Drosophila melanogaster: one gene and its partners. The protein of the gene in region 2 purifies or fractionates together with the protein of the main gene of each other region. This does not show direct contact. Each region holds a gene or a part of one and is shown on either strand. Other genes may lie near its edges. The genes, in order: CG12769, tra2 and hrg.

Region 1 (9,396 bases), 6.5 Mb from region 2:
ACGTTGGGTCATGGTCAAAAGAAGGAGAACCTTCTCGTTGATCTGCGGATCCTCTGTGGTGCTATTGGTGATCTGGGCAATGCGCAACTGTTCGGTGGTAGCCTTGGGCTGGGCCTTCTCTGGCTTGTCTGTCTTGCTGGCATCCTGGCCTCCCTTCTTGCCAGCGGCCGCAGCATGTGAGACTCCATCGTGATGGCCGGTTCCTCCTCCGCCGGAGTTGCTGGCATTTGACTTTTTCTGGTTGCGGGCATGGCCGCCGCCTCCCCCGCCGCCTGAACGAGTTTGTGTGCTCATCTCTATGTACACTGTATATACAAATTAGCTGCAATACGAAAAAGATGAAGGATTCGATCTTAAAACCAGGGAATCTACAAACTGACTGATAAAAATTTAAGTCTGTGCTGACTGGATTCTGAGTATGGGACTCTCTGGGTTTACTTAATGTTCTATAAGTAAAATAGTAATATCTAAAGATCAATGCAAATAAGTAGAGAGTAATAAGTAATGATTTTTGGTGTTGCTGATTTAGAAAGTTAGCCGCCTGGTTCGCTTCTGTTAGTTGATATTCAACTATAATATAGCAGAAATTCAATTGGAATTTACAGCGCATTTACATAAATTTTTTGTTGGATAGAGAATAATGAATGGTTAAGATCTAAATCTTGATTCGTCGGCGTGGAAATATTAATGGTAAACTCCCACAATCCAGACAGCTTTTATCTGGGAATGTGTTAAAATGGCTAAACAAGTGGCCGAAAGAGAGCAGCAAAGGAAAAGTTGGCAAGATGAGAGTTCAATGTACATTTAATAAAAGAGAATGAAAGAACGTGAACAAACAGACACACGCCGAAGCAAAGAAGTGCGAGAGGAAGGGAAGATCGTACGCACAAACAAAGCGAGCATTCAGAAATAACAAAAATAATGAGGGGGGTGAAAAGTGTATTGGCAAAACAGGTAACAGAATGATTGCCGAGGGGGTGGCGGGGTACGTGACCACGACGCATCCAAGCCGAAACGTCAGTTGGCATTTCCAGGGGGGGTGGTTCATGGGAAAGAGAGCGGGAGAGGCGACCCCGATACCAAGTGCATATCTGAATCACTCAATTTTTGTTGTCAAAACAGTTTTATCAACGTTTGCCGTGAATAACGCCTTTCCATGCATTATTCATACACAGACACACGCGCGTACTGCCGCACACAAACAAAAGACCGCTGTCGCCATCACTTTTCCATCAGGTTTCGCATTTCGCACGTACACCATGATATGGAAATTTGACCACGGGAACTGGGGAACTGCGATCCGAGACCCGGAAACTACTCAATACCAATTGCAATGGGAATCGCGGTGACTGACATACACAAAAATTGATTTATAAACTCCTTGGCCTCTTCGCTTCGGTTTTTCGCTTTCGCTTTTGTGCTCGCTTTTCTGCATCTGTCCTAGCGGCATCTCCCTCGCACCCGCACCAGCGCGGGCTGACCAGTGTTGCCAGGTGCGAACAAAGCGCAGCGGCACTTGGCAAGGCCGTTAAATTAACCAACAATCGGAGCACAATGATTGGATTCGTTAACGAGGTAGCAGGTCCTAGAGAGGGCAAACAGCGTTAGCTACAATATCTGCACAAACGCACAAATTCACGGCAGGACTCGGATGGCACACATCACTAGGTACGCTCCGGCACTTGGCAACACTGAATGCGAGGGCATTGAAACCGAATGAAGCGCACAAAGTGGAATGCAAAACCGGACAAAGTGGCGTACACTGCGCCGAAATAAGCGAAATGTACGATTCGTTGTTGGCGAAATTTGTCCAATATGTGACATACCCGGCAAGGATAACGCACTCCCAGTTGCACATTGCGGGGCAAACGGGATATATAGCCTTAATAGACCCAGCCATGTGCACATACTTCGACGCCATTTCTGCAACGCCACACTAGCCGACTCTTTCGCTCTTATGTAAACCAAGGGACCCAGTAATTGACGACGACCGCCGCTCCAGACAGCGGCCACTATTGAATTTTCAACCGAGTTTTTCGCTGACAAGCCCCCGGGAGACATGTCGAAAACACGTTGCACAGGTGGGGGGACACTTAAACTAAACTTTAACACCTCAGCAGGGTTCCGGTCACGGCTTTAAATTGGATAAACAAATTTTCAAAACGGAGTCACACTCAATACCTGCAAATGCGCCGAGAAACGCACTTTTAATGTGACCGCTCGTTAGTCGATCGATATGGCTTTATCTGGGCATGCAGCCCTGGACTCAGAAATCTAGCGGTGCCACGAATCAGTTTTACTAATTTTTAAATTGATAACATTTCTATACCATTATTAAAAGGCTTCAAAAAGCTAATTTATCCAATTTTCCATTAGCTAATATAAGCAGCTTACCTATTAGAAGCTGATTTCGATCTTAAATATGTTGTATGCTCCTTGTTAAAAGGTTTTGAACTCGTATTAAATCAAGTGGTATATCGATACCAAATGAAAAGTTGTTGGCATTTGCACACCTCTATCATCAACAAAACATACTACTTTTGAAAAAAAAAACAAACAAAATCAGTTCATTTACCAAACTATGGACAAAATATTGCATTTGATGACAAAACATTAAGTATATTTACCCAGGCGAGCAATGAGCACACACCAATGCCCCAAATATTCGAGTGACGACGACGTCGAGATATTGAAAGATGCAATGGAGGAGCTGCAAAAATAAGCTTGAAAAGATCCTAAAAAACCAAAATGACTTTTGCAAGGTGGAACTGGACTATTTTCCCGTGTATGATCCCGACGAGCTTTCCAATCTGGATGCGAATCTTTCAAAGCCGGGCAATAGCACAAAACGTAAGCCTGATTATTGGGGTATTACAAACTTGATCTTTTTGTTTTCCAGGCTCATATTATTCACCGCATCCTGAGGCCAGAAGGTCGAATAGAACCGCTGAAAAACAATTTGTCAAAGATGTTCAACTACGATATTCTCATGGCTTACAACTGCGACGGTGAGCTCTCAGTCAGCAGTCAGTCATCTCATACAAATATATTAACGAAACTATTTTTGGTGAGTTAAGTATAGCTTTGTGCAGATTTAAAGCATTCATTTCGTTTACTAAATTAGGTGTTGCTATTTATAATTTGGCGTAAAAAAAACTATCCTGGCTTATAAGCTAATGGGTCAATTTAGTTTATAATTACTAGTCATTCTAAATAACTAAATTATATTTGCATGGGATATTTTTATGCTTGAAGACCGCGATGGTTCCTTTTTTATAGTGCATCAAACTTTCCATATCTATTATATTATTATATCTTAAGTTGTTCGTATTTGTGAAATTAAATTAGTAAGCAGGAATATTTTTAGAATCAGTACTTTTAGTTAGTTGCGCTAAAATTTAAGAAAACATTTTCTGGTAATCTCTCATCTTTAGGGGTCCTGAAAACAGACATTAAGGCGACGATATCATAAAAGAAACCACGACTTACGGAGGAGGATTAGACAGAACCAAAAGTGTGAGCCAGATTCTGATTGGGATTAGCCGATAAGCTGGTATCAATGCTGCATTTCGTTTATTTGCAACGTTTATCTCAACGAAAGGAATATTAAGCCAAACCGGTTTTGGCTCTCTGCAGTAAGTTGTGTTCTTTCCGCTTTAATGAGGTTATTTTCGGCTTGCATAGCGCCTCGAAACGCCAGTCTTTTAAACCGTAACGTTCTGGTCGACATCCCCTTGGAAAAATATGGATCAAAGATTTCACCACATGTGGCTTTTAAGTGGTTCTAATAATTGTTATTATTTACCATACTTTTGTTTTCCATTGCAAAGCAATCACTGATTTATTTATTTATTCGATTTTTAAGTTCTGATTTCACCTAATTAGTCATTTTTTAAACCTTATTGTAAATTAACTGACGCAATAAAGAAAAAAATGTATTTAATTCAAAAAATGTGCATTTGAAGAGACGCTTCTTTCTCGTTTCTAAAGGTATTATAAAATGTTTATATATATATATATGGGTTTATATATTTTATATTTGCATATGGAAAGAGACCATATACCATCCATCGATATACCATCCTCAACATTCTTCAAGGTTTCGCAATCATCGTAAAGGAATTGCAAGATTTTAAAAAAACGCGATGCCCAAGATATTTTGTTAATGGATACTTAATCGCCAGTGCCACTGAGACAAGTGATTCGAAATGAAAACGACGAGTGTCGCTGCTCTTGGTGAAAAAGGCAACCTGGCAGGGTTCAGTAAACTTGTTTCCAATTTGAAAATGGTTATGCCAGCCGGATAAAAACATTTTCCGATGGTTTTAGGCATTGCAACAACAAGTACCAGGCCAGTGCTCAGTTGCACAGTCGGTGTAGCGGGCCATAAATGAGAACTCAATTAGAACGTTTACATTTCTGTAAGAAACGAGTTGCTGCCGCTGCTGCTGCCACTGCTGCCTGCCGCCGTAGTTGCTGTGGTACATTATTTTTTGGCCTAAATAGTAGGCCTTGAGGAATCGGAATCGCTTGAGTTGTTTTTGTTTCACCGAGCGCCACGGCAGAGCAGCCGGCAGCGACGCGGGCAGCGGCAGAGCGTCGGCCGAGCGGGAGATACCGATTCCGAATCGGAATCCGCTCAGAGTGGATTCGTCTTTTGGCCCATTCGGATGTGGCCTCGCATGTGGCGCGCGCGTTGTCCACTGACAGTTTTATTATTATTATTGTTGTTATTATTATTATTATTATTTGGGGCCCAAAGCTAACTCTTGCCCTTTCGAGCTGCGCGTAATTTCGATTTCGATTTCGGTTTGGTTTCGACTCCATAATATCCATTCGGCATCTCGGCGTTCGCGTTGTTTCGAGTGCATCCACATCCACATCCGACTCCACAGCCACATCCAAATCCATTGCGATTGTTGTGTTGTGTTCCAGTTGCCGTTTTTGTGGGAGGTTAGTTGGTTGAATAATCCGCGACTCCGCAGTGTACGCAAATTGCAAATTGCAAAAGCAATGCAATGCCCCGCTCCATGGAAGTCCCCATTGAGAAACATAGATCCAAGAACTGCAATATGCCCTAGTGTATGTGTGTGTGCGTGCCGGAGAGCGGGAGAGCGCACCAGTGCCTGTTTGTGTGCGTGTGCCTATGTGTGTGTGTGTGTTTAGAATGCACCTTGTGGTATTTTGAAATCTAAAATTGCCAAACACCCAGCGCGTTTCTTTTTTTCGAGAGCATTGCAAAAGACTCCAGCTGTGCTAATGCTAAGTTGAAACGAAAAAAAAAACAACTATCAAACCGAAGAATCGAAGAACTGACAAGCTAAAAACGAGAAAAAGAAACTGAAAATCAGAAGCCAAGGCTGCCGCTCTTTCATTTTAGCGGGTATGTAATTACGAAACTCCTGCGAGCGCCTGGCTGGCTATTTCGGATATCTGTCGGATTGCGACAGATTTTCGTGGATTTTCCGCCATGGATTAATGGGCGCCAAGGGTACAGCCAGCTTTCCCACACGAACACGCACACACTAACGCGTTTATTGGCCAACATACAGTCAAAATTCCATAGGTGGCCACACCATCTGCCACTTTAATAAATCAAGTACTGAAATCACATAAAGGTATAAGCAAACGAGTATTCAAAATCATAGTCAGAGTCAAAGAAACATTTTTGTATTTATCAAGTTTATTTAATTACCGGAAATTGTAATTAAAGAAGCTACACGAATAAATCTGTTTTTGGGATAGGCCAAGTCTGAAGTTTTAGTAAAAATCCCTTTACAAACCAAACAATAGTAAACCGATCAAACAAACGCATTTACTTTGAGTTCCCAGAATTCAACTTCGCGGAGTTGCACTGTATATACCTACGTCACGCCCACCTGATTTCAGTGCAATCGCGTTGGCCCAGTTTACGGGCATGCTCCAAGACAAAATACACTCCTACAAGGTCGATTGCCTATGTGTGCTGCTGTTTCTGTTGCCGTTTCTGCCTTTGCGGCTGTGGCTGGCGTTTTTCTATACCAGTTTCTAAACCTGCCGCAGCTAGTTTCAATTTCTACTGGGATTATCTGCTCCGGCTTCGGTGGCTGCGACGCCTCCGTCGCTGCTGCAGGTGGCGATGGCGATGGCTGCAGCTCTCTGGGAGCTCATTACTTGGCCCGTCCTCTTCTACCCGCCCCTCCTCATCGTGCCACGTCCACCTCGTCTGTGTGATTGTGACACAGAAACCAACTAAGAAGTATGTGGAAATCTCTTGGCTGCATCGAAATCAAATCAGAAACTTAAGTTGGTCTCGCCAGTCGGCGGCTCCGCGTTGAGTTTCCATTTCAGAACATATGCGCGTTTTCGCAACAGTTTGCAGCTAGAAGATTGCTGCCTGCCCATTCGGGCCTTTTAAAACGGCAGTCATACCTGTCCATGTCCGATTTGGTTAGAAGTTGACTAAGTGGATCCCACGAAAGAGCACTCCTCCCTAAATGTTGTCTGCTGGCTGTATTTTGAAACTTATGGATTAATGGATATTTTTAAGACATTTTAACTTATTTTGTGAAAGTCCACCGATGTAATAGTAAAACAATTATACTCTTAAATTTAACTGACTGCAAGATATAAGAAGTCCGAAAATGGGTTAACAGGAATCTGTCATTCATAAAACTCTCGTTTCGGCTTAGCTAAATTTTCTAATGAGTGCCACAAAAAGTTTCACTAGCTAACTTCTTTGTGTCAAGAACTGGGTTTGTGCCCAATCACGCTCATTGAAGGAAATCTTGTAGATATCGTATAGTATGGTTTTCCCAAGTTTACGAATTTAGTTAAAATAAATTATAATGTGCATACTTACCAGCTCCAAAATCTGCTCTTAACACGGATCATACATATTTTCTATTCAGAAAATGCGTCTTAGAAGGCTTTACCGTAGTGGCTTGGCGTCAATTTCGTTCATCTCCCTCTCCCCTTATCGATTCCCAATTGGTTCTTGCTGTGGGATGCTAGAACTGTGCTCTGCATCCCTGGTTCATTCCCCAAAAGCAGCACACGCACACAGTGACGGGTGGACAACCCCTTTCCCATCGCCCACATCCCACATCCCACCACCCACCACCCACCACCCACAACCCAACGCCCACCACCCGCGCCCCTTCGCCCGTACAGCCACACTGCAGTGTGCTCAATTCGGATGGACGGCTGTGTGTGTGTGAGCGAGTGCATCTCCCCCACAGCAACTGCAAACTGCAAACTGCAGACTGCACGAACTGTGGTGCAATAAACGACGAATGGCGAACGGGACGGAACGGAACGCATATTGCGTTGGCGGCGATAGCTTGGATGTAGTTGCTGCTGCTGCTGCTGCTACTCCCTCAGCTCCCCCTACTCCTCCTCCTACTCCACCGCCCCCTCTGCTACCCCGCTCCCTTGATGATGACAGCCGAGGTCGTAGGCAAAGACGACGGCATACGCTCGAGTAACTGGCCCACCACTACAAACAGCCAAACCTGTTGACCTAATTTCAAATTCTGCTGCGTCTTGTTGTTGCTGCTGCGGCTGATCTGTGTCTCTGTGCCATCGGTTGGTGTGTGTGTGTGCATAAGTGTGTTTCAGTGAGTGGCGGCTCTCTGGGCGAATGTGTGTTGGTGTGCCGGAGAGCCAAACGATTGGCAAATCTTCGCCAGTGGTGTTTGGCGCCAAGGGGGATCCACATCCAAATCCACATCCACTCTTCATGGGAGAACATGAAAAAAATAAAAGGCCTTCAAACTCAAGCATTCCCCCAAACGAAGATCTTCGAGCATTAGGTGGCTGGTACACATTTTTGGAAAATATGTGGTAACTTCAGTTGTACCAATGATTAGTTGTGCGAGATGAAAAATAAAATGCTTACCAATTTTTTAAATACCTATCCTTTACTCTACATTTAATGACCAGAAGATACAAAGGCATTGCAAGCTTAGTATCTCTTCTAGTTCTAGTTTCTAAGACTTTTGTGTTATTCACAGTAAATTATATCAAGAAGTATACATAGTAATATACTACACCAAGCTTTTAGTTTTTTAAATAAGACATCGAGACAATGGGACTGTCACTTTATTAAGTGCGCTTTAATTTTATGTGAAATAAAACTAAAGTAGTCATTTTTGTCAGTGCAGAAATAATTGTGGCTAATATCTATCTGATCTCCATCCCCAACCCTCCGAACTCTGACTCACCTGAAGTGGTGACCCCCCTCGGACGCCTGCCCTGGCATTTCCGTCCCAAACAAAACGGAGACAGACACAGATACGTACTTACTTATGTATGTATGTATATTGGGATTCGGATACCGATGCAATTGGTGTGGGACTTCCACATCCATTTCCACCAGCTATTGCAGTTTGGATTCAGTTCGGTTCGGTTTGTGTCGGTGTTTGGGAATTTCGGAATCGGGATTTATTGGCAGATACCGGAATGCTGGGATGCAGTGGCTAAAAGCATGCATCGTAGTGTGTGTTTTGAAGGGGGTGTATCCCACCTTATTTATATGTTGTATTTGTTTTGCGTCCCAGTAACCACAAGAAATTACGGTCGCTGCCACAAGCTGCTGCCTCTGCCGGCGTCGCTGCCTGCTCCACTTGTCGCAGTGACGAAACGTTCGTGCCTGTGTGTTTGTGTGTGTGTGAGTGTTTGCCAGTGTTTGTGTGCAGAGAAAATCAAGTGAATCAAAATGAGCGTATAATTAGGTCAACACAACAAAAATTATACGCTAGCCACTTAGCAAAGAGAGCAAATCGGCAGACTCTCTCTCTGGGAATCGGAAGTGGGGCAGAGCATGGTTGCTGGTCCCATCAATTAGAAATTAATTCACGCGGCTAATGCTTCAAAATTGCAATTGCAGTGAGAGCAAAAAACGTGCACCTGCAACAACGGGAACAACAGCAGCAGCGGCAACAACAACAACTACAGCCAGGGAGAGCGGGTGTGAGAAAAGCATAAACAAAAACGGGACATGCGCTGCACTTGCCGAACGGGAGAGAGTGGGAGAAAGAGCGTGGGCCGTTGTATACAGAGAGTGCAATTTTCGCTCAGCTGCTTTGGCAGCTACATGGGAAGAAAAGTTGCTTAAGTAGATATTCGCATATCAAAGGTATTAAAATTTAATAAATAATGTGTAATCATGTTATTAGTGGGATTTGCTTAATAGCAAAAACTTATCTTAAATGCTTTAATAAAAATATATTTTTGCAAGTTCCATAGTTACTGCATTCAAGCCTGAATACTCCATTGACCTTTGGTTTTTCTCAGTGTGCCAGAGAGCGCTTGTACACAGAGAGCTCAACGCTCGAATCGGCTCCCACTGAGCTATTTTTTACCCCACGTTTTTTCTCGCCCGTTTCTTGATTTTCTTGCGTTGTTGTTGCTGCT
Region 2 (9,089 bases):
CTCAGTCTCTGGTGGACACCCTAAATGTGGGCGTGGCTCAGGCCTACCTGAACCAGAAGCGGCTGGACGCAGAGGCAAAGCAACTGCACTTGGGCGCCACCAATTTCGCCAAGCAGACCCACCAATGGCTGCAGCTCATCGACCAATTCAGCACTGCCCTAAAGGATCTCGGCGACGTGGAGAACTGGGCACGCAGCATAGAGGGGGACATGCATACGATTAACCAGACCCTAGAGCTGGCCTACAAAGCCTCTCGAGCGACACAGACATCGAGCGGAGCAGGTACATCCCTGGAGGCCTCTACTTCAGCGTCGGCAAGTGCAAATCCCAGTGCTACTTGAGCGTTTTCCAAAGAATGCATTTGTATCCTGTGGAGATCCATTGAGTAAGTGTATGACCGGTTCTGCTTCCCATACAAACTTAGTTAATCCTAATTAAACTGAAATTTATAGAAGCTTAAGTAAATGATATGTACGACCAATTCAATAAAACGCCCATTCACAAGTTAATCGTCGCTTCTGTACAAATTAATCTTTATTTTGTACCTGCTGCACAATTGCATTTATAATTAAAATTAGTTTAATGTTATCATTATCAGTTTGCTGCAGTTCCTTTAAAATACATATCACAATCCATGCGGACCTCTGTATGTAATGTTGGTAATTGATTTGATATTTACAATTTATGTTTTTATACAGCATTAATAATAGTAACCGAATTATTATGATTAAAGGGTGTTTTGGGTGAATAATTAATTAATCTAGTTGCGAACTGTTCGCCAACCAAATGCATTAGATGGGATAGGATTCACCAAAACAATATTTCAGTCGTATGCTCCTTTACAGCCCGTTTGACACAATCCAGTTGGGCGAACTTAGGAGCACGAGTTAATGAAGTAGCCTCCTCCCCAGGCGCTTTAATAGCGCGATGAAGTTCGACCTAATCGTGGAAAATATACAGGATAAACGTTTGATTAAATAGACGGAGGAATAAACTTTACGTAGTTGCGGAGAGCGTGAACGGCTGTAGCTCCTGTTGCGAGTGTAACGGTTGCGACTAGGGCTCCTGCGGAGATTACGGTCGTAGCGATCGTTGCGGTAATCATAGCGATCACGATAGTTGTCATAGGGCGAAGCGGAGCGATCGTGATACACACGGCGTCCTCTACGCGGTGAAAATGAGCGTGGAGCTTTTCCACGCGGCTGACGACCCAAATACACACCCGGAGTTGGGGTATGAGCCCGTTGGGTTATAGAGAAATCGACGCGAATACGGCGACCATCCACTTCTATTCCGGAGCAGCTGTCCTTAGCCGCGCGGGCATCGCTGAGTTTCTCAAAGTAAATGAAACAAAAGCCCCGGGAACGCTGTGTCTGTATGTCAGAAGTTATTAAGGGTTAATCTACGTTTGTGAACTTGAACTTTCCTAACAACTGAACACATATTGATTTCGGGAGATCAATATTTCCTTCGAACAATATGCCACTGTGACAGCAAGCCTTTAGCTTTTAGTTTGGAATACACAAAAACTCACAATCGCTATCAAATTTTATCTAGCCAGAAATTAAGACAAAACTGCAGGGCTTCAGCGGATTTGTCTACACAAAAGGATTCAGGCAGGAAATATCTTAGCAATGCTTATCGAAAACCGACTTACTTGTGCGTCAATCACCATCTGGATGCGTTCGATAGGTCCGTACTTGTTGAACAGCTCGCGTACCTTGTGCTGCGAGGTATTTGTGTTCAGTCCAAAGACTCCTATGCAGCGGCTTGCTTGTGGATGTTCCTGAAACGCCGAAGATCTTTAGGATTGAAAGGAGGCATTAATCGGCAGAATGGCTTACGCGAGACTTGTGCATTCGTTCGCGATCGCGTGATGAACGTCCGGAGCGATGACGCGGCTCCGGTGGCGGCGACTCCGAGGAGGAACGCGAACGGGAGCGTCGGCGAGAGGAGGACCGCTGGTGCCGGCGACTGCCACAGTAATCGTAGTCAGACCTTGATTCGATGTGGAATGGAATGAAATAAGATTATCTTGCGGTTCGTTCTTGAGGGTCTTGAAAAGTTTTGTATTTCGTGTGGATTTCGGGTGGTTCTTGCACGCCTTGGTAACTGACAGTTGGAAAATTTGTGTGACTTGACAAATGCTACGGTTGGGTTCGACCTCTTTCGGCCAAATTCTTTGGTAGTTGGACGTAGAATGAAAATGATTGCTTCGGTGGGTTCTTACATAGTGATGTTCGTTGGTTGGTTGGTTGGTTGGTTGGTTTCTTCCAATGAAATGAAATCGGCTTGAATGATTTTTGGTTTTAACTTTCTTGGCAAGAGCACCAGCTGAATCGGCTGAGGGGGCAAATCCAAATGAAAGGGCCCTATGACAGTTGAACCTTTTTTCCAAACTGCCAGTCAAAACTACTCGATGCTTCATGTCAAAAGAGGTATCGTTTAGGGTCGTCTCACATATGTGTGTACACATTTACCTGCGGTCCTTGTGTCCGGATGAAGTTGTCCCCGCTGACGATGATGACGCCGATCGCTTGTGTTTATATCTGGCGCTGCAATGGAGACGCCCGCTACTGAGTGGCTCCCGATCCATTGGCTTTTTGCTTACCTATCGAAACTTCGCTTATCGGAGCAATGGTGGCGAAAAAAGAAGATGAATGGGTGCACACTATTTGGATTGCCGTTCTTACCATTTTTGAGGGTTTGATTCCCTGCTATATTGCACACCCAATCAGTGTTTACCAATTAATTGATAGCCTTTGGCAGGTTTTATTTATTCTGTCTGCGTTTAGAAAGACGCACGCTTCAACAGGGGTGGCGATAGGTGAGGACGTGCGTTATCGATTGGCACTTTAACCCTTATGCGGCGTTGTCATCCATTTAGAAAAAAAAAACACAAGCGGAATTTATTTAATGTTATCGAATATATTTAACAAATTAAATCAGCATAATTATTATGTACTTTATTCAACGAAATATAGGAAAATAAACAAAATTTGTACTACAAGAAAACAATACTATTTGATTGGTTAGCAAACCATTATGTTATATGGATTTTGTAATAGTACAATTTATTATTCTTGCTTTTAGATAGTCATATACAAATTTAATCCTAAATCACAGGTTAGTTTAGCGATACCGCATAGACCACATATTCTTCACCATCACATAATTATATAGTCTCTGGTGTTCCAGATGATGCAGATCCGTGATGGTTTTCACCACTCGCTCGTCGTTGAAGTGGCTTTTAGGTGGGGCTTCCAGGAGATTTCCCGTCGTAAACCACTTTAGGTTCGAGAAGTGCTTTCTCACACTGTCCCGCAGAGCAACTCCACTGAAAACTGGTGTGCGGTACAGATCAAACATATTCTTCTTGCCATACTTCTCGTGGATCTCATCAACGGTCTTGTCCAGATCAGGCTGCTTGGCGTGATATATGACCCATAGTTTTCTTTGTGGGGCACGGAGATCTGTCAAGCTAAGAACTCCAAAGAATTCTACTATGTAGGGATTGAGTTTGGGTGTTTCAGCTTTTGGTTTTAGACAGAACAATTTTCTCAAATGGCTGTCGATTTCCTCATCCAGGTTGTAATCTCCTTCTGCGAATCGGTTGTTAATCATCGTTGATGTTCCAAATAAATAATTTGCCGTTTTAATTACCCGTGTTCTTATCAGTTACTGAATTCGTTGTCATATTTTAATAACGAGGTGACTCTTGCTTCTCTGACTTCTGAATGCGTGTTAACTTCCTACGCACTCTTATTAAATACCCAACAAATACGATTTCAACTGATTTGTATAAAGTTTGTTTCGTTTTGTTTACGATTTCCAATTTCACAACAAAAGAGCTTTTTGAAGCAACCCTGTGGCCTATCAAAAAACAGTGAGCTTTTAATGCGCTTGTTTCTTTTTAATACCTATTAATGCAGACAACTAGGGTGTTTATGTTTGTTGATTAGGATGATCGGATGACTGTGTCTTTAGACTCCAAGGTATATACTATTATGTACTACTATATTATAACCGCAAGCTACTTGTGTGTGTATATATTTTATTCGACATATTTTTATAAATCATTTAACTTGACCAATAGGTTGTAAAATGTATAATAATACCCCCTATCAACAAATACACATGCCGCTTTTAGTCAACAGATGTCGACTGTAAGTCGATGTTTTTAGTTAGTTTAATGTTTAGCAGGAGGTGGTTTTTGATCATTATACCGCTCAAACCAGGCGTGTTGTATCATTATATAGTCAAAGATTCTTTTTTGCTCCTTGTTATGCAAGTCCGAAACAGTTTTCACTAGTCTTTCATCATTATAATAACTATTTAGTGGAGCTTCCAATTGATTTCTGCTTGTGAACCATTTTAAGTTGGAGAAATATTCTCTGACGACTTTATGAAATCCCACTCCGCTGAATGTGGCGATCTGAAATATTTCTCTGACATTCCTATTGCCATATTTCTTTCGAATCCTTTCCAGAACCTTTAACCTTTCTAATCTAAGGCCATAATAAATGTACCACCGTTTTTGGGCAGCGACATTTGGTTCGTCAATACTGAATATTCCGAAATATTCTATCGTATCAGCATCCAACGACGTAGGTTCTGCAACTGACTTCATATAAAATAGACGTCTCCAGTACTTTTCCAATTTATCGTCCATGTTGCTAATATTCCCTGCTATTAAGAAATATAATCAGATGAAAACTTAAGGTGATTCATAGGCTTTGCCCATTGATAAGTGTGCGGCAATTTTGCCTTCCTACCTCAACAAGCGTTAAAAGAATACTGGTTAGCATTTATTGGCATTTATTATTTTAAAGCTTTATTCTAGAAAGTCTTATACATAAATGAAAATATTTTATGCATTTATGTTTCGATATGTACACGATTTATACAGATTACTCCTAGACATAAGGTAATCGAAGTATCTTCTCCTTTCGTTCTGATATAAATCTGCAATTGTGTTAACCACTTTCTCATCATTAAGGGAGCTACCTAGCGGGGCTTCCAAAATGTTTCCTTTTACGTGCCACTTAAGCCCTTTAAAGTGGTTCTTAACACGGGATCGCATTCCAGCCCCTGTATATACCGGTTTTCTGAACAGCTCGTACATATTCTTTTGGCCATATTTACGATGGATCTGATCCACAGTTTTGTCCACCTGATCTGTTGTCGCATAGTACATGTACCACAGTTTTCGGCGAGGCGCTCGAACATCGCTTAAACTCAGAACTCCAAAGTACTCCACTTCGGTTGGAATGTACTCATTTTTAGTATCGATTTCCTTTAGGCAAAACACACTTCGCAAATACCTTTCCAGTCGCTTTTCTAAATCGGGATATGCACCTGTAGATTATTATATACATATGTGCATCATTATAATATGCCTCTGTAAAGTTTTAACTAAACTTACTATTGGGAGCTTCAACAGCAGATGTTGTCATCTTGAAAAATTTGTTGTTAATAGAAACGGTTTTTCCCCTGCGCAACTTTTATACTTATCGCTCTGTAATATTTCACAAGAGCTTTAAGATTTCGCCAATGGCTCCAAAAGCTTCGAACGAAATGTAATTTTTCTTATTTCTTATTTTACACGATTTATGCGTTTCGGCTTATATAAAAAAATGTTAGAATGTTTATATTTATATTTTATTTGGATACTTAATAAATATGCAATGATAACTATAAGATATTTACTTGAAAGTCCCACACTGAATAAAATATTTAACCATTTATTTCAAAAAAAAAAAAAAAAAATGACGATGCTGCGTAAGGTTTAACAAATTCTTCATTTCAGAATTACAAAATTATGATTTTGCGTTCAACGAAATAATTAACTCTTAATTAACTGTGCTAAAGTAACTTAGAATACTTTCCAACTGGTTTATAGTCTTTGCCCTGCTATATAATAATCTCCGCAGAATCATCCAGCTCGCCTTTGATCACCGTCGTTTCCATGTGCCCTACGCTGCTGTTGGAGTCAGGCAGGATGCTTTCCTCTGACTGCACCGCGTGGTTAATGATGAAGACATTCGGATTTCCGGTGGTACTCAGACTCATTCCGGCGGGGGATACGAATTCGTCAGCAGGAGTCTCACCCAACACTGCACTTAAAGACCCTGTTGATTTCGCTCGTGCAACGGATGAGACTGTGCTCTTGGACAGAGTTCTTGCCGGCGCCGTCTGCTGTTTGCACAGCGCCGGTTTCTGCACAGCTGGTGAAGAATTCATCGACTTTAAAGGGCCCGAAGTCCCTGGTTTTTTCTTGGCATTCGTCCTTGGTGCTGGCATACACACTGTTGTGTTGAGATTAACGAACTGTTTAGGAACAATAAATTGTTTATTAATGACCACATAAATATTTGTCGTAAATAATAACTACCTGACTAGCGTCTTCCCGAACACTTTTCGGGATCCCCAACGTGGATCTTGGCTGAGCGTTTCCTAGAGCTGCTGCTGCTGCTGCTTGGGATGTGGAGGCTTTCACAGGCGTGCTGGTGGCAACATATGAAGACTTTCGCCCTGCCGTCGATTTCGAGCAGCTATACGGAAAGCCAAGTGTGTTCCTGCCCCCATCGTAAAGGGGAATGGTAGCGGGGAGAGAACTCCGCTGTTGGGCATGGTCCGCAGATATTTTCTTCCCTTGCTGTGGGATGTCGGAGGTGGCTATGCTTTTGGAAAGCGTCGAGCTGGTGGAAGCGCCTAAGCTCGAGTTGATTTGGGCCGGGGTTAGAGGAGTCATTGTGCTGGTAGCCTTGTTTAAGTAATGTACATAGTTTTCCAAAAGCTTTGTACCCACATCCACGTCGATGGCCATTAACGAGCTGGTCCTTACAATTTCCTCAATGGTACGCTGTCGCTCGGCCACTGATAAGTTGGCTGCCCGCCGGCTGAGGGTCTGGAGCACCAAGTCAAACATTTGAACCCTCGCCTGCAACTCCACGCGCTGCTTGTCGTTGGGGCAAATCGGAGGTAACTGAATAAAGGACGGCGACGCATTAATTACCATCGAGGTGCCGGCTAATGAGGGATTGGTAGCCACTTGTTGCACTGACTTCTTGATCAGTTTTGTGCCACGTGGCAACTGTTTGCTTAAAGAATCCAAGTCCGCCGAAATGGTAGTGGAAGAGGAACTGCCTGAAACTACGGGAGTGGAAGTAGATGGGTCCACGGTTGTGGGATGATTAAATAGACCTGGATCAGGTAGGGGAGCCGATAGCAAATTCTGTATAATCGATGGAAACGGTTGAGTTGCCGGACCAACCGAAGCGGGAGCAGGTGAAAAGGATGAAGGACCGGTGGGATCAGCAGTCGGAGTGGTAGCCGTCGGGGTCAGTTTACTGGAATCCCGTTCTTTCGACTTGTCCAGTAATTCCAGCTTTGCCCGCACCTTACTTGGCATATTCTTATCCGCCTTAGAGATAAACTTGGTGGTTATAACCAGGAACTGCGGGATTTCCAGCACCGGTACCTCGGCCTTCGAATGCAATCGAGTAAAATCAATAGCCCGCATTGGTCCATCGAGATTTGGACAGCAGAAGTCTAGACCGACGTCGTCATAGGATTGCTTGTAACGTTTCGGGTAGAGAAATGAGTACATCTTGGTCTGCCCAATGGCATTGGGGTTTCCGTCAGGGTCACTGGCGGAGGGAATTGAATGTAACTCAAGCGGCCTAGATGAAGTGGAAACACCCAAGGTGTTGACTTGAATAGTGTCGGGCCCAGCGTCTTCCGTAATCGCATGTGGTTGAGGTGTTGCTGGTGCTGCAGCAACCATAGGCATGGGCTCATTAGGTGAATGCTCATCCATGATATCTTCCGGCTCTGACTTTACCTCTGGAATTGGCACAGGCAAACATTTGGCTTGAAACGTTTGTAGCTTCTGCGGTTCTGCAACCTTCTTGGAACTTTCCAGCAACGTTGGTTCGTCAGGAAGATGTTTTTCAGTCGATGGACAGAGAGCAGTGTTCAAGGTTGCTTTAGCTGTCTGTGCACTTTCGGGTGCGATGTCTAAAGCGGGTGATGTCGATGAATCGTTAGCTGCCGGTGAATCATAAGCTGCAATTGGAGCAAGTTGAGCTGAGCTTTCCCTTATTCGGAGATCTGAGGCCTGTAATGTACAAGAATCGGGCTGGGATGCAGGCAGTGGCTGAATAGCAGGCTCCGACTGTACTTGGGATTGCAGAATTGATTCTGACATCGACTCCGCCGCTGAATCCGTTTCCGAGGTTTCACCAAGCAGTGGTAATGACGTTACATTACGAGATCCTTCTTGTTCTTCATTCCTCTCCTGCGTGCTCCGAAGCCACTTATTATAGGGCCTCCGATTTATTTTCACGCAAAGTTTGCGGGGACTAATATTTTGAGGAACTGTATTACCCGTAGAACGCACTACTTGGGGAATAACAGAAGAAGCAGCTGTTATTTTTACTGGGAACGCAGCAAATGCAGATTCTTGGACATGATCATTCTGTTGTGGGTGGTCCTCTTCATCCATCTCTCTGGGTCTCTTGGGATTGATCACCGCTGTACCGTCTTCCGCTTCACCCGCTTTCCTTTTTGAAACAAGTGGCTGGTTCCTTCCACCTCGTGCACGACGCTTTGATAAAGTCTGTGATTCCCTGATTGGTTTTTTTTGGTCCGAAACAGGCGTAAAGCGCTCCTTAGAAGCATTTCGTTGACTGTCAGACATGGGAGTTGGTGTAGGTGCCAGTGATCTGTTGCTGCTGATAGCTCGGGTCATGTGACCTGGCACATTGAAGATTCCTTGGGATTCGGGAAATGTTGCGCGGATATCGGATACATCTGATTGAGAGTCCATCGAATCCATTAGCTCAGTAGCAGCCTCAGCTTGCAGGGAACGAACCTCAGTCTTGGGCTTCGATTTGGGCTGTTCCGTTTTGGTGTTTTTGACCGCATTTTGGTGTCCGCGACCTTTAGACATTTTCTCGATTTCTGCGTCTTGAACTGGAAACTCTGTTTCCTTGGGCAAAGCTGCTTTCAAAGCAGTTTCAGACTTCGAGACATCTGGTTGAGGTAAAGATGTTCCTTCAGATTTTCTACCATCTATTTTACTT
Region 3 (12,493 bases), 5.1 Mb from region 2:
AGAAGTCCGACAATAAACACAAAATAACTATTCGCTACACGAGGACGACCGTCATTGAAAACTTTATCCAATCTTACAAACTATATAAAAAGTTACATCTTACACCTTAGTACCGACATAATCTGGATATAAAAGAAACATTAATTCTTTTGTTTTGTATCAAAAACTAATTGATTTATTTGCATTTTGTTAAAACTATGCAAATTTGAATATTTGGTTTACAAAATAATACTTTGAGTTCAAGTTGATGGTTTAAACAACCTGGGATTACAACGCACTTAAATCACCACACGTACGAGCGCTTATAAACTGATGGGTTGTTTCTGTGGGATGCAGTATGTGACATTTTCTAAATGTAGTGCGAGATTCGGCTGAAGATGAGCTAGCAAACTAGATGAATAGAGTAATTATTGTTTAACCTAATACAATTGTAGGATGAAGGCCTGACTAGATATAGATACATTTTATATTTATATATATATATATATATATATATATATGTATGTATGTATATATATGTGTATGTATGTATATATATGTATATGTATGTATAAAATGCAATTCGTACTGATCGGTAAGCGTTTGTAGAGTGCAGCCGCGTGCTCTTGGCGAAGCGATTGCATCTTTTGGCTTTGTGCAGTTTACTTTCATGGTTTTTGGCTACAAAAATACTCTTTACATACGGGCACATACACAATGTATAATTAGAGCCCCAAAATGGACCAAGCTACAGCCATGCACTTCGGGTGTGTGATTGTGTATGTATATGTATAAATATAATTTGGTTAATCTCATAGTAAAGCCACTTAGCGGCATCTTTCACCAGCGGTTCGTATAGAACTGATTGATGCCAAGCACATGCTTCTCCTCATGGTACTTTTGAAGGATATGTGTGATGACCGAGGTTGTGTCGTTGTCGCCACGCCACACGCGTATCGCATGTTCGTTTTCCAGGATGCCCAGAAATGCTGTAAACGTATGTGCAATTAGTTTCGATTTCAACTGTTGCTATCTTAATTAGATGGACATACCCAAAAAAGTCTTTGGATTGCTTAGGGTCATCTGGACTTGTGGCATTTCCAGGATCACCTTTAGGATGGGCGAATCGGGCGCCAAGCCTTCACGCAGTTCAATAACGCTACCCGATCGATTGTCGCACAACCATTCGCACGCGGACGCCTTGTTGTTGCCAGTTTTCTTCAGTGCCGCGAGCACTGCCGTCTCCTCGAAGCCCATTTCTGTAAGCGATTCCACAATCTCATCGCTGGGAGGGGAATCCCGGTGGCTGTAGATTCGTACAATCTCAATCAAGGCAGCAGTGTTTTCAATGGTTTCCTTTAAAAGAAAACGGTTGTCATTAAAAAGCGATAATCTAATTCCTACTTACATTATTGGTGACAATCGTGGAGGGTGAGATGGAAGATAGACTGTGCTGCATATTCATGCCCGGCGGTTCCTGTGGATTTTCCTCGTTTTGGTTCTGTATTAGCCACTCCATCGTGGTCGAGTAAATGCCATTGTGTGCTTTTAAGGCAAATGCGGCTAGCTCCCGCTTGAAGCCCATGTCCACGAGGCATTGCAGCGTATCCGCTTGCTGATTTCGGCGATTGATCAAACGTTGCTTTAGCATAGCTATCAGGCGTGGAGCATAAGGGCCAGCTCCTATAACCGCCGCAGAAGCTTGAGCCAAAGAGATCAACACCTTTCGCACATCGTATTGGATCTGGAAACGGAATAGGATTAGAATAATCAAAGGAGTAGCCAAGAATTGTACTCACATTCGACTGCTGAAAGATTTCATTAATATCGATGGTGGGCAGCTGGTTGCAATTGACGGGCACGTATCGGGTGGCGCTCTCCACCAGCTGCTCATTTGGGCCAGGAACCTCACGTATCCGTGAAACAGTCTGCGGCAGAGTATTGCGTCGTGGGGAGAGTATGAAAGTCTCATTGTTGCGAACTTTTAGCTGGGCCAGCGTGTCGCCCTCGTTAAGCTCGCCGCCGAAGTATTCCGCCCGATAGAGACGGTATCGCGGATTAAGATGCCGCACATCTGGGGCAAATAGCTGGATGGAGTCGGGATCGTCGCTCAGTTCCAGAATCACCTCACTCTTCAGCTCGTTTAGGCGCTTATTAACGTCCGTTTTGAAGATAAGAACCCGAGAGCTGGGGCAGATTACCCGCACCAGGATAGATTCACCTGGCCTGCTGGCATCGTCTGCCTCGCCAGAAGTAGAGCTACCTGGGCGATTTGTATGGGCTGATTTCCTAAGTGGATTCCGTTAAGAATGGACTTAATTAAAAGATTAGCATAATACCTAAGCATTACTAACCTGAGAAACAAACTGCGCAGTTTTTGCATAGTTTGTTTTAGTTGGATGGGTAGTGACAAACCAACGGAGAATTTCGAAAGACAAATATTTGTTTCGGGTGAGCACTTTGAAAAACATAAGCATATTCGTTCGGTTTGATAACTTACGCATTAGCCTGCTGTTGGTGAGTGGGCGTGGGCGAGTCCTGTGGCACCACCTTCTGATGCTCAGCACGTTCCTCTCGTCGCTGCAGCTGTAGCTCAAGGTGAATGCGACGTCGGCGAGCGGGCGATGGAGTCCTTAGGACGCAACTGCCCCCGCCCACAAGGGGCCGCGAATTGGAAGCGGATATCCCGCCATCCGTCTGCGTTTCAGATTCCGCCGTGTGGACATTCAACGAGGATCCGCTCAGGCTCTCCGCATCGCTGGCGTCTGTCCGCTGGCTGTGGCTATGACTGCTGCTCCGAGGGCTTTCGTCAGCCGGAGAACCACCGCTGCGCTTGCTACGCGCCAACCACTTGGCCCGTTTCTCGTTGAACTTCTCCCGCATCCAGGGTATCATCTTGGGTCTGCAGCTAGGTGTTTGTTACATTTTGCGGCACTTTTCGATGGCTATTTTGCATATTTCTCGCAAGTAAACAGAATCGATGCGTTATTGCAAAAAAAAAAAAAACGATTTTTATTTTTGTAAAGTCGATAGCAAGCAGCTGTTTGATGGTGCTGCCAGATAGGCCATATCCATGGGGAATACCCCTAATCTTTATAACGGCTATTTTGACATGAAAAACTATTTTAAAATATGTTATGTGGCTGAACTTTATAAATATATCGTGATATGTACATATATGAAGAAAACTATGTTATTCCTTATCGTTAGCCAATAACAATAACAGGAAAACATTGGGGTTAAATACTTTTGTTACTTTACTGCAATAAATAGTAGTTACCCGAATATAGTAATAGAATTAAAGAATTCATTTTCCAAAAACTATTAGTAATACAATCTAAGTGTCTTAATGGTAAATTGGTACCTGGTTAGACCCGTCATATAAAACCCAAACATACTTGAAATCCCAGTTTGAAATGGGTTTTCAAATTTCAGGTAAGAAAATTGGGTTTTGAATTTACCTACACCAAAGGTGCAAAAAGTGACATCTGTCGCAGATTTCAAATAAGCAGATGGCCAGATTAGGTCCCAACTGTAAAAGAACCAATAGTAAATCCTATGCCCTCAGCTTATTTTACTTAAGGCGGTATCGCTTGCAGATGACTCTCACTTTTATTACTTGCGAAACGAATCTGCTTGATAATGAAATAAAATGGTGCTCATACACATTATATTTAAAACCAATTTGCTAAAAATCATTTAAAAATTCTCACTAAAAATGTCCATTCACAATAGGCATACGTAAGCAGAGAGCATGGAAATCTTCCCATCCCTAGCTACTCCCATTGGCTCATCTCTATGCGCCGCAAGAAACGATAACGATTGCCACAAGCATCCAATCGATTGCCACACATTTTAATTATTGCTAGAACGCGCAGGGGCTTAAAAGTTAGTAAAATATGTTTGCCGCCCACTAAACGCCACAGCGTCGATCCCGTCGTGTTATCAGTGTGCCCCCGTCACCTCCGAAACGAAACAAAAGTGGGCGGAAAGCGTTTGTGTTTGCGTTTTGGCAAGTCGACTACTGGCATTTGTATATCGGTGTGTGCGTGTGCGTCACGTAGCATAAAACGCGAGAGTTTCTGTCCGTTAAGCAGCAGTGGAAGGTGGTGGAACGGGAACGGAAAAAGAAACGAAAAAAGAAATGTGAAGAGTGCGGCAAAAAAGCGAGGAAGACGAACGTGCGAAAAGAGTAAAAGCCGGAGCGACAACAGCACATGAATGGGATACACTCTCCTGCCAAAAGTTCTAACAAACAAACATACATACATACATATGCACCACTCACGAATGCAGCGGACAAACAGCACGACACGCCACACACACACACACCTTCAGATATTGTTTGAAGCGGCGGCACGGGAACAACAAAAACAGGCCAAGAATCTGAAGAATAAGCGCAGGTAAGCAAAAACAAGCAGAGAAAACTTTTCCCCTCGTGTGTGTATGTATACGGCGCGTGCCTGTTTGTGTGGGTGTGCGTGAGTGCGTGCGTGAGAGCACCGTTTACCTGTGTGGGAGGATTGTCGTTGGTGAGAGGGGGGTGGTGCAGGCGCATAAATATTCGCTTTCTTTGTTTATGTTTGTCATTGTCACAATTATTCTGCTACAAGCAACAGCTACGGCAACCCACTCCAACCGCTAATTTATTTGCCAATTTCTTTTACGCATTTGTTTATATGCCCGAAAGGCTATCCAGTGAACCAGTGTGCCCAGCTGCTTTGCGAAATTCATTGTTATGTTTTTTGTATATAACGGCGCTATCAGAAATATCTTATCGCACATTACAATTTGCATTTACTCAGCGCGAAAGTAAATTGTAATTGTCAATTAACTGTTTTGCTACACAGGAAGAAAAGGGTAATTTCAATTTAGTAGTAACTGTTGTATATATGTAGCCCTTATCACGTGATGAATGTGTATCCCACAAATATTTAGTTCAAATATTAGGTGATTCACTTTTTAAAAAACCGCGTCGTCATCAGTTTGGAAACGCCGTACAATAATTCTCACTTTAAGAAACCCTAATATTTCGCAATCCTTATGAGATTATCATAGTCCGAACAAACCTATTCAATTTCAATACGATCCGCTCTTCCTTAAGAATTTTAAAACCAAACCTTAGAGTAATGCTTTAGATGTCATACTAAATGTATTATTTTCTTTTCCAGCATTTTATTAAGCGCAGTTTCTTAAACAGAGCCACAAGAGGAGGTGTCGCATATATATGATTCCATTTTGTCTTCTTGGAGAGCAAACTTAAATATAATACCACATACATTTTAAGCCTAGATAGGTGAGTAAATCGAATATAGCGATTCCGAAAGGATCAGATAATAACCGTTTAAAATTTCAATTTTCAGGACATAACTTTAAGCTGAAACGAAGGCAGACAGACAACATGTGGAATTCCGAACCAACACATCGCCAGCACCATCAGCACAATGGAAATTCTACCTCGGGCGGACCGCCCGCCAAGCAATTGGGCATGACCTCGGCTATCAGTCTGGCCGAGCCACGGCCTGAGGATCTCCAGCGCACTGATGAGCTCCGCGGCTCACTGGAGCCGTACAACGTCTTTGAGAGCCAGGACGAGCTAAATCACCGTATGGAGATCCTGGCCAAGCTCAACACACTGGTCAAGCAGTGGGTCAAGGAAATCTCTGTCAGCAAGAACATGCCAGAGTCAGCCGCCGAGAAGCTTGGCGGCAAGATCTACACATTCGGCTCGTATCGATTGGGTGTCCATCACAAGGGTGCCGATATAGATGCCTTATGTGTTGCTCCGCGAAATATTGAGCGCACCGACTACTTTCAGAGCTTCTTTGAGGTGCTCAAGAAGCAGCCAGAGGTAACCGAGTGCCGCTCGGTGGAAGAGGCCTTTGTGCCCGTCATCAAAATGAACTTTGATGGCATCGAAATTGATTTGCTGTTTGCCCGTCTGTCCCTAAAAGAAATTCCTGATGACTTTGATCTACGGGATGATAACTTACTGCGGAATCTGGATCACCGTTCGGTGCGCAGCCTCAACGGCTGTCGTGTGACGGACGAGATCCTGGCCCTGGTGCCCAATATTGAAAATTTCCGCCTGGCACTGCGCACTATCAAATTGTGGGCAAAGAGTACGTGTTATTATATAAAATTCTTATAAATTAAATTCTAATTGTTCTCATTTTCTCTCTTAGAGCACGGAATCTACTCAAATTCATTGGGTTATTTCGGTGGTGTGACCTGGGCCATGTTAGTGGCCAGAACCTGTCAGCTGTATCCCAACGCTGCGGCTGCCACACTGGTGCACAAGTTTTTCTTGGTCTTTTCGCGCTGGAAGTGGCCTAACCCAGTGCTACTCAAGCACCCGGACAACGTTAATCTAAGATTTCAAGTAAGTCATAAAAACTTATCCAAATAGTCCGGTTCTCTAATAGATTTTCCTATTCTAGGTCTGGGATCCGCGTGTCAATGCCTCGGATCGGTATCATCTGATGCCCATTATTACGCCCGCATACCCACAACAGAATTCCACATTTAATGTGTCCGAATCCACCAAGAAGGTCATATTGACCGAGTTCAATCGCGGCATGAACATCACGGATGAAATCATGCTCGGTCGCATTCCGTGGGAGCGTTTGTTTGAGGCACCTAGCTTTTTTTACAGATACCGCCACTTTATCGTGTTGTTAGTCAACTCGCAGACGGCTGACGATCATTTAGAGTGGTGCGGCCTTGTTGAGTCAAAGGTGCGTCTGCTAATTGGCAACTTGGAGCGAAATCCCCATATTGCACTGGCCCATGTCAATCCCAAGTGTTTTGAGTTTAAGAAGGGCCAAAGTGCCAACAACTCACAAAACAACAGTGGAAATGAAGACGATCTGAAGCAGTCGCAGGGAAACCAGTCTGCTGTGACATCGGCACCCTTCTGCTCCATGTGGTTTATAGGCTTGGAATTCGAGCGATCGGAGAACCTTAACGTGGACCTCACCGAGAGCATACAAAACTTTACAGAGCATGTGATGATGCACGGCGTAAGTAAAAAATCGAAAATAATGTTTATTCAGTTGCTTATTACTTTTTTAATCTTGCAGGTTAACATCAAAATGCTTAAGGAAGGCATGACCATTGATGCCCGCCATGTAAAGCGCAAGCAGCTGTCGCTTTATTTAGACTCTGACTTCCTAAAACGTGAGCGCAAGTCAATGGAAAGTCACAATAATTTTAATAACACGCTATTGGCTAACCGCAAACGACTTTCTACGGAACTGGCCCAATCGCAGGATCCACTGCCCCCAGGCCAGCAGCCATCAAGTGGAAATCGCGGTCGGGATAGCGGAGCCAAGATACAAAGACTCAGCGATTCGGTTAGTGGTATAAAAAAGATATCAATTTAGAACGTATTAATTAGTCGAAACTTTGTATGTCTAGCTGACAGAGGAGAACTCGAATGCCTCCAGCGATATGGGGGCAGGGACGCCCACCACGCCCACAACGGCGCAATTAAGTGCGCCAAGCTTTAAGAGCTCTGGCAAGAACGGCTCCGAGATAGACGTTGTAGAGCAGGAACCGACACAGCCTCACAACAATGGCAATGCCAGCAGCAACACAACCACAACGGAGGTGGCATGTTCGTGACAACCGCCAACGCTACATCCGCATCCGCCACATCAGCAGCCACCGCCAGCGCCGCCACAGCCACCAGCTCACCATCATCATCATCAGAAGTTCCGAAAGAACAACAACGCGGCTGCGGCAGCCGCCTCCAACAGCATTTTCAACCAACGCTCGATTCTGCATGCCGCTTCCAGTCTATCGGCTGCTCTAAGCATTACCGGACATAAGCGCAAGCAGCAAACGGCAACATCAACAACCATGATCAGCAGCAGCAACATTGCTCACAGCAACTACACCCAGCATAGCACTCACAACAACAACGGCGGTGGCGGCGGCAGCCACTACAACAAAACGTACTACATTGATGATGATGACGAGGACAACAATCAACCACTTTTGACACCTAACAACCAAACACAACAGCAACAAAAAGCGGTCAGAATAACAGCTACATCGGCGTCACCAGCAACATCGGTTCCGGTAGCTGCGAGTGCCGCACCACCGGCACCGACAATTTCTTGTAAGTTGCCTAAATGTTTTTCCTCGTTATCGTACTCTCTTTTCATTTTCCCCAACTTCCTTTGACACGAGACTGTTTCTGTACTCTTAAGTTGCCTATCTACTTACTTTTACGTATTCTATAACCAGTATTCCGCCAATGTGGAAACAATCTAACAAAAACATACCTCTAATTTTTTAAGTTTTAAAAATTCAATTTACCTAGCCCGAGACTAAGCTCAATAAACGATGATGAAAATAAACTTTTTAAAAAAGAAAAAACACTGAACATTTTTCGTATTTTTATTTTCCAAATTGTTTACAGTGAAATTCGTTTGGTCAAACATTTTAGGCTATAGGAATCTGCAAAACAAAATGCGAGAAACAAACCTTGCTTTGTTCAATATTCAAGAAACAATTTCTAAAAAGAAATAAGTGTAAAACATTTACATTTTATTTTGTTTATATTTCGGGTTTTATTTTTTGTTTGGCTGTCTAGCTTTCGTCAGTTTTAATGAATTCATGGCCCTTAAAAAGCATTTGTTAATGTTTGTATTGGGTTTTATAAGGGACAAGCTAAGGAAACTGTTTTATATAGTAGCACAGATATTTCGGTTCTGTGGGATTTTACTACGATAATAACACACGTCTCATCTGGAAATTAAGTAAAAGATGAAGGTATTGTTAAAAAGATTTTTTGCTGTTAATTTGATTTTAATTGTTTCCACTTTGGTTGTACAATAAACTCAAACTTTTTACCACACCGAAAATTACGAATGTTTTGTTTGCATATTCTTGTTGAAGTATTGTAATTAAAACATATATATAAAACATACATATATTCCAATAACCGTTTTTATCCTTTTTATTGTCTTTGCAGTGTAAAAAGTTATTAAACATACCATTTAAGGATTAGTTATCATAGTTATTATCTCCCTATTGATTTCCTCGGCATTGATGCCTGAACATACATGAAGCCCACAATATTTTATACAAAACGGTGAGACTAATTTTGAATTAATGGCCACTGAAGTTTATAATTCGGTTTTCCATTCATTTCAGGTTTCTATCATACACCTTCTACAAACATGTGTTAAACATTATTCGTTCAACCAATTAACATCGCCCTATCGTCAAATCGAAATTGGCATTCGGAGATCAACAATCGCCGTTAAGACAAGAAAACATCATGACTTGAGGCGATTTTTAGCGGCAGAGAAAGCATTTCTCTAACATTTGTCTTAATAATATTGTTGTACATCTTTTTTACTTCCCCACAGCTGGTTTGAGGAGTGCGTAGAAGAGAGAAGTGTGGAGAGGAGGATGTGGATAAAGATGGATGGATGAATGGATGATTGACAGCAGCGGACTGACAAGATCCTGGAGAAGATTCGCTTTGAAAACTATTTACAAACTAAGAAGATTCTTTTTAATTTTTCATCTTGTTTTCAATATTTGTTTTCTTCTTCTTCTAGTTGTACAACGCTGAAAATTTGAAACAATTATGTTCGTTTTTCTAAGAAATGATATCTGAAAAAAGGTAATAACAAAAACATATAAATGAAATGAAGATATTGATTTAATTTTACCAAATAAACCAGAAAAATGAAAGCGCAAGCTAAAACACCAATGTATCAATGTTTTAATTATTTATTGGAGATGTGTGATGGATAATATATTTGGAATACAAAATATTTGCACTGAAAATGTTGGGAACTATTGGATATAATTAAATTGCTATAGAAAAATGTACTATTTTGCTAATGACGAATAAAGGATGAGTAGTTTGTTCCGAAGAAGCTTAAATTAAGAAAATAAAATATATTTATTTCTGCAAGCATAAATCAAGAAAATTTTTGAATTTACATTTAAATGAAGAGGAATCACAAATATGATAATCATTCCTTGTCCCATCAATTTTCTCGTACGAAGACTGATCATGATCAATGTCTAACTGAAATTTAAACAGGTTGAGTGAGTCCAAGATGTGGTTGCCTTTAGTTAATGGCAAGTTGGTGTAGCGGATACTTGGGGATAAAGTACTCCATGCGCTGGTTGCGTCTAATGGCGCACTCCTGGTACTCCAACCAGTCAGTGTAGGACTCATTGTGGCACTGCTCCGAATCCCCTTTCTCGTAGAGCTGCTGGCGAAGGGAGAAAAAGAAGGGGCGCACTTTCTTCTTTATGCTGTAGACGTGGCGCATCAGCCACTTTTCGACTTTAATCTCATTGTAGATGGTCGATCTGTTCAAGCAGACGGTGGTCAGATTGTCCATTTTTGGATAGTAATTACGGACCGGTTTCGGATCCACAGTTATTCGAGGTATTTCATGCCTAGCTACGGCGAAACGGGTGTCGAAGAAATGTCTACCAAAAGTGACGCCCCAAGCATTGTATTCCTTCTCCCCATATTGGTTTGTAACGAATTGTTGAATACTGACGGTCAGCTCTTTGGGTGGTTCAGTTCCTTTTCCTCCGGCGGCACCTCCTTCAGCCGCTCCTGCCGCCGCTGGAGCTCCATCAGCTGGCGCCGCAGCTTCAGGCGGAGGTGGATCTTGTGGAGAAGCAAATAGTCGAATGCCACTTTTATGGATTTTCTTAGGAGCAGTAGTGCTTCCTCGGGTCACAGTAATTGGTGGCGGATTAGTTTCATTGTAGCCAGCTCTACGGTGATAATCATCCTGTAGTTTCTTTGCGAACACTCTGAAGCCGTCGGATTTCTGCTGCATTTGGTTATTGGAGCTTTGATCCACCTTGAAAATATCGAACGTCGACGGATCTGGTTTTACTTGCCTTGGAGCTCTCTCCACCGGAACATCCTCTGCCAAGACGATTGGAAGTGACTCCAGATCGGTTGTAGCCAATGGCAAGCCAACGACTCCTTGTACCCATAAAATCTAATGGATTATAATATACATAGGTGCTGCAGTTGGTGGCTCGACGCACTCACGATTATCGATGATATTCCCAGGAGGAATCCTTGGAGGATTGCATACCAATGCATAGTGTTCTATGTGATATTTTAGGGGTATATCCCTTGTCTTTAAAGTGTGATTCAACAATACGAATGTAAGAAATAAGCGTTTTCAACAAGGAGCCCATAGTGACTTCAATTACAAAGAAACTTCGATTGCTAACTAGGCCGGGAAAGATCTATACAAATAATAGTTGGTAATGGTAAAAAATTTACAGTCAATATTGAAAATATATATTGTATCATGGAGGTTCGTTATGTTACTGTATACAGTAAAGGAGTTAACTACAATTTAAACAGGTGGTTTGTTCAAGAGCCATTAATATCTCAAGGATTTTAAATACATCGTGTACAGTCGCCACCTATACAGTTTAAGGTAGTGAAATTTTCTTGACTAATCCTGCGTGATACCTAGGATTTCGTGGGACGACACGGGGAACCCGACGGTGATCTGCGATCCCGTGTCCTTTCTGGTCCTAACCTAATTGCAGTTCTGCGAAAATTATACGCGACACAGCTGCGCGTTTTTCCCCGAAACCGAGTAGCATTAATCCGTTTATGGCCACGGATTAAGTTGCAAAATTTTCACTAAGGTCGTCGCGATCCGGGACGCGAATTCGCGGAACAGCCCCGACCCTTTCAGGTAACAACGCCCGCCACCCACAGGTAGGTGTTTATAGGACAAGAAAGTGGGTATAAAAGATCTAGCCGCTGGCAAGGAAGTCATCAGTTACCAACGCATCTTCAAAGTGTAAGGATCCCGCAGTGAGAAGCGAAGTCTTAAAGTTTGGAATAGCAATTATACGACAAACCTTGTTCGGTTTTGCCAATTTCCAAGCCAGCACTGGGTAAAGTTTGTCCTATAATCCCGAAACGACGACCAGCTAATTGTGAGCCACCTAAGGTCCCGATCCTGGGATGCATCTTGTGCAGTTATGTTTCAATCTCACATCACTGGGCAAAGTGTGTCTCAAGATCCTGGCCACATCGTCGCAACTTCAAATCAATTAAATCAAAAAATCAAGAGTAAGTGATATTGGGCACTCCAGTTTTAAAATTGAATGGCGAATGTCGGTATGGTCTCTTTTTCAAAGAAAGGTTTCGATTAAGCGAAGTGACTAGACCGAACACTCGTGCTATAATTTTAAAATATTCAACATGCTCAGTAAAGTTGCGAGTGAAAATTAAAATATTATGGAGCGGTTGCAATTAGTTTCTTTGGTCGTCCAGCCTTAGGTGATTTTTCCGGTCATAAAGCTAGACAACCATTGAAGTTCGTTGTGGCATTAGCAGCACCACGAGTCAAGAAATTATGTTAAGTGATCCCCAAATTCATCGGGCCATTCGCTAAAAGGAACGATCGTTGTGATATGAGTTGTTTCCTAACATATCACAGTGATTTTCCTTTATAACGCATGTTTAAAGTCCACAACTCAT

What was found.
Region 1: the proteins of tra2 (region 2) and CG12769 purify together in Drosophila melanogaster (affinity purification with mass spectrometry, with the first as the bait; one large-scale study listed by BioGRID). This does not show direct contact.
Region 3: the proteins of tra2 (region 2) and hrg purify together in Drosophila melanogaster (affinity purification with mass spectrometry, with the first as the bait; one large-scale study listed by BioGRID). This does not show direct contact.

The regions. Positions count from the first base shown.
Region 1 is NT_033778.4:8,060,797-8,070,192, reverse strand, and holds the start of CG12769 (uncharacterized protein), read left to right. Parts: upstream 1-4,638; 5' UTR 4,639-4,953; intron 4,954-9,396. Other genes in the region: lig (lingerer), read right to left, coding at 1-294; CG17977 (uncharacterized protein), read left to right, coding at 2,749-2,850, 2,900-3,067, 3,435-3,443.
Region 2 is NT_033778.4:14,601,504-14,610,592, forward strand, and holds tra2 (transformer 2), read right to left. Parts: upstream 2,835-9,089; 5' UTR 2,694-2,834; intron 2,636-2,693; exon of another isoform or gene 2,626-2,635; 5' UTR 2,597-2,625; coding exon 2,481-2,596; intron 2,423-2,480; exon of another isoform or gene 2,233-2,422; coding exon of another isoform or gene 2,231-2,232; exon of another isoform or gene 1,999-2,230; coding exon 1,845-1,998; intron 1,787-1,844; coding exon 1,658-1,786; intron 1,622-1,657; exon of another isoform or gene 1,483-1,621; intron 1,403-1,482; coding exon of another isoform or gene 1,391-1,402; exon of another isoform or gene 1,374-1,390; coding exon 1,001-1,373; intron 940-1,000; coding exon 917-939; 3' UTR 501-916; downstream 1-500. Other genes in the region: Blos1 (biogenesis of lysosome-related organelles complex 1, subunit 1), read left to right, coding at 1-341; CG12868 (uncharacterized protein), read right to left, coding at 3,133-3,602, 3,664-3,697; CG33469 (uncharacterized protein), read right to left, coding at 4,190-4,672; CG33468 (uncharacterized protein), read right to left, coding at 4,871-5,358, 5,426-5,456; Su(var)2-HP2, read right to left, coding at 5,914-6,330, 6,395-9,089. UniProt on the Drosophila melanogaster protein: Required for female sex determination in somatic cells and for spermatogenesis in male germ cells. Positive regulator of female-specific splicing and/or polyadenylation of doublesex (dsx) pre-mRNA.
Region 3 is NT_033778.4:19,661,136-19,673,628, reverse strand, and holds hrg (hiiragi), read left to right. Parts: upstream 1-3,796; 5' UTR 3,797-4,382; exon of another isoform or gene 4,383-4,511; intron 4,512-4,560; exon of another isoform or gene 4,561-4,839; intron 4,840-5,150; 5' UTR 5,151-5,275; intron 5,276-5,342; 5' UTR 5,343-5,380; coding exon 5,381-6,101; intron 6,102-6,164; coding exon 6,165-6,361; intron 6,362-6,419; coding exon 6,420-7,001; intron 7,002-7,061; coding exon 7,062-7,334; intron 7,335-7,398; coding exon 7,399-7,605; coding exon of another isoform or gene 7,606-8,104; exon of another isoform or gene 8,105-8,369; intron 8,370-8,962; coding exon of another isoform or gene 8,963-8,967; 3' UTR 8,968-9,082; intron 9,083-9,144; 3' UTR 9,145-9,710; downstream 9,711-12,493. Other genes in the region: Kpc2 (Kip1 ubiquitination-promoting complex subunit 2), read right to left, coding at 820-968, 1,032-1,335, 1,388-1,723, 1,779-2,268, 2,334-2,345, 2,480-2,874; CG11018 (uncharacterized protein), read right to left, coding at 10,080-10,979, 11,033-11,086.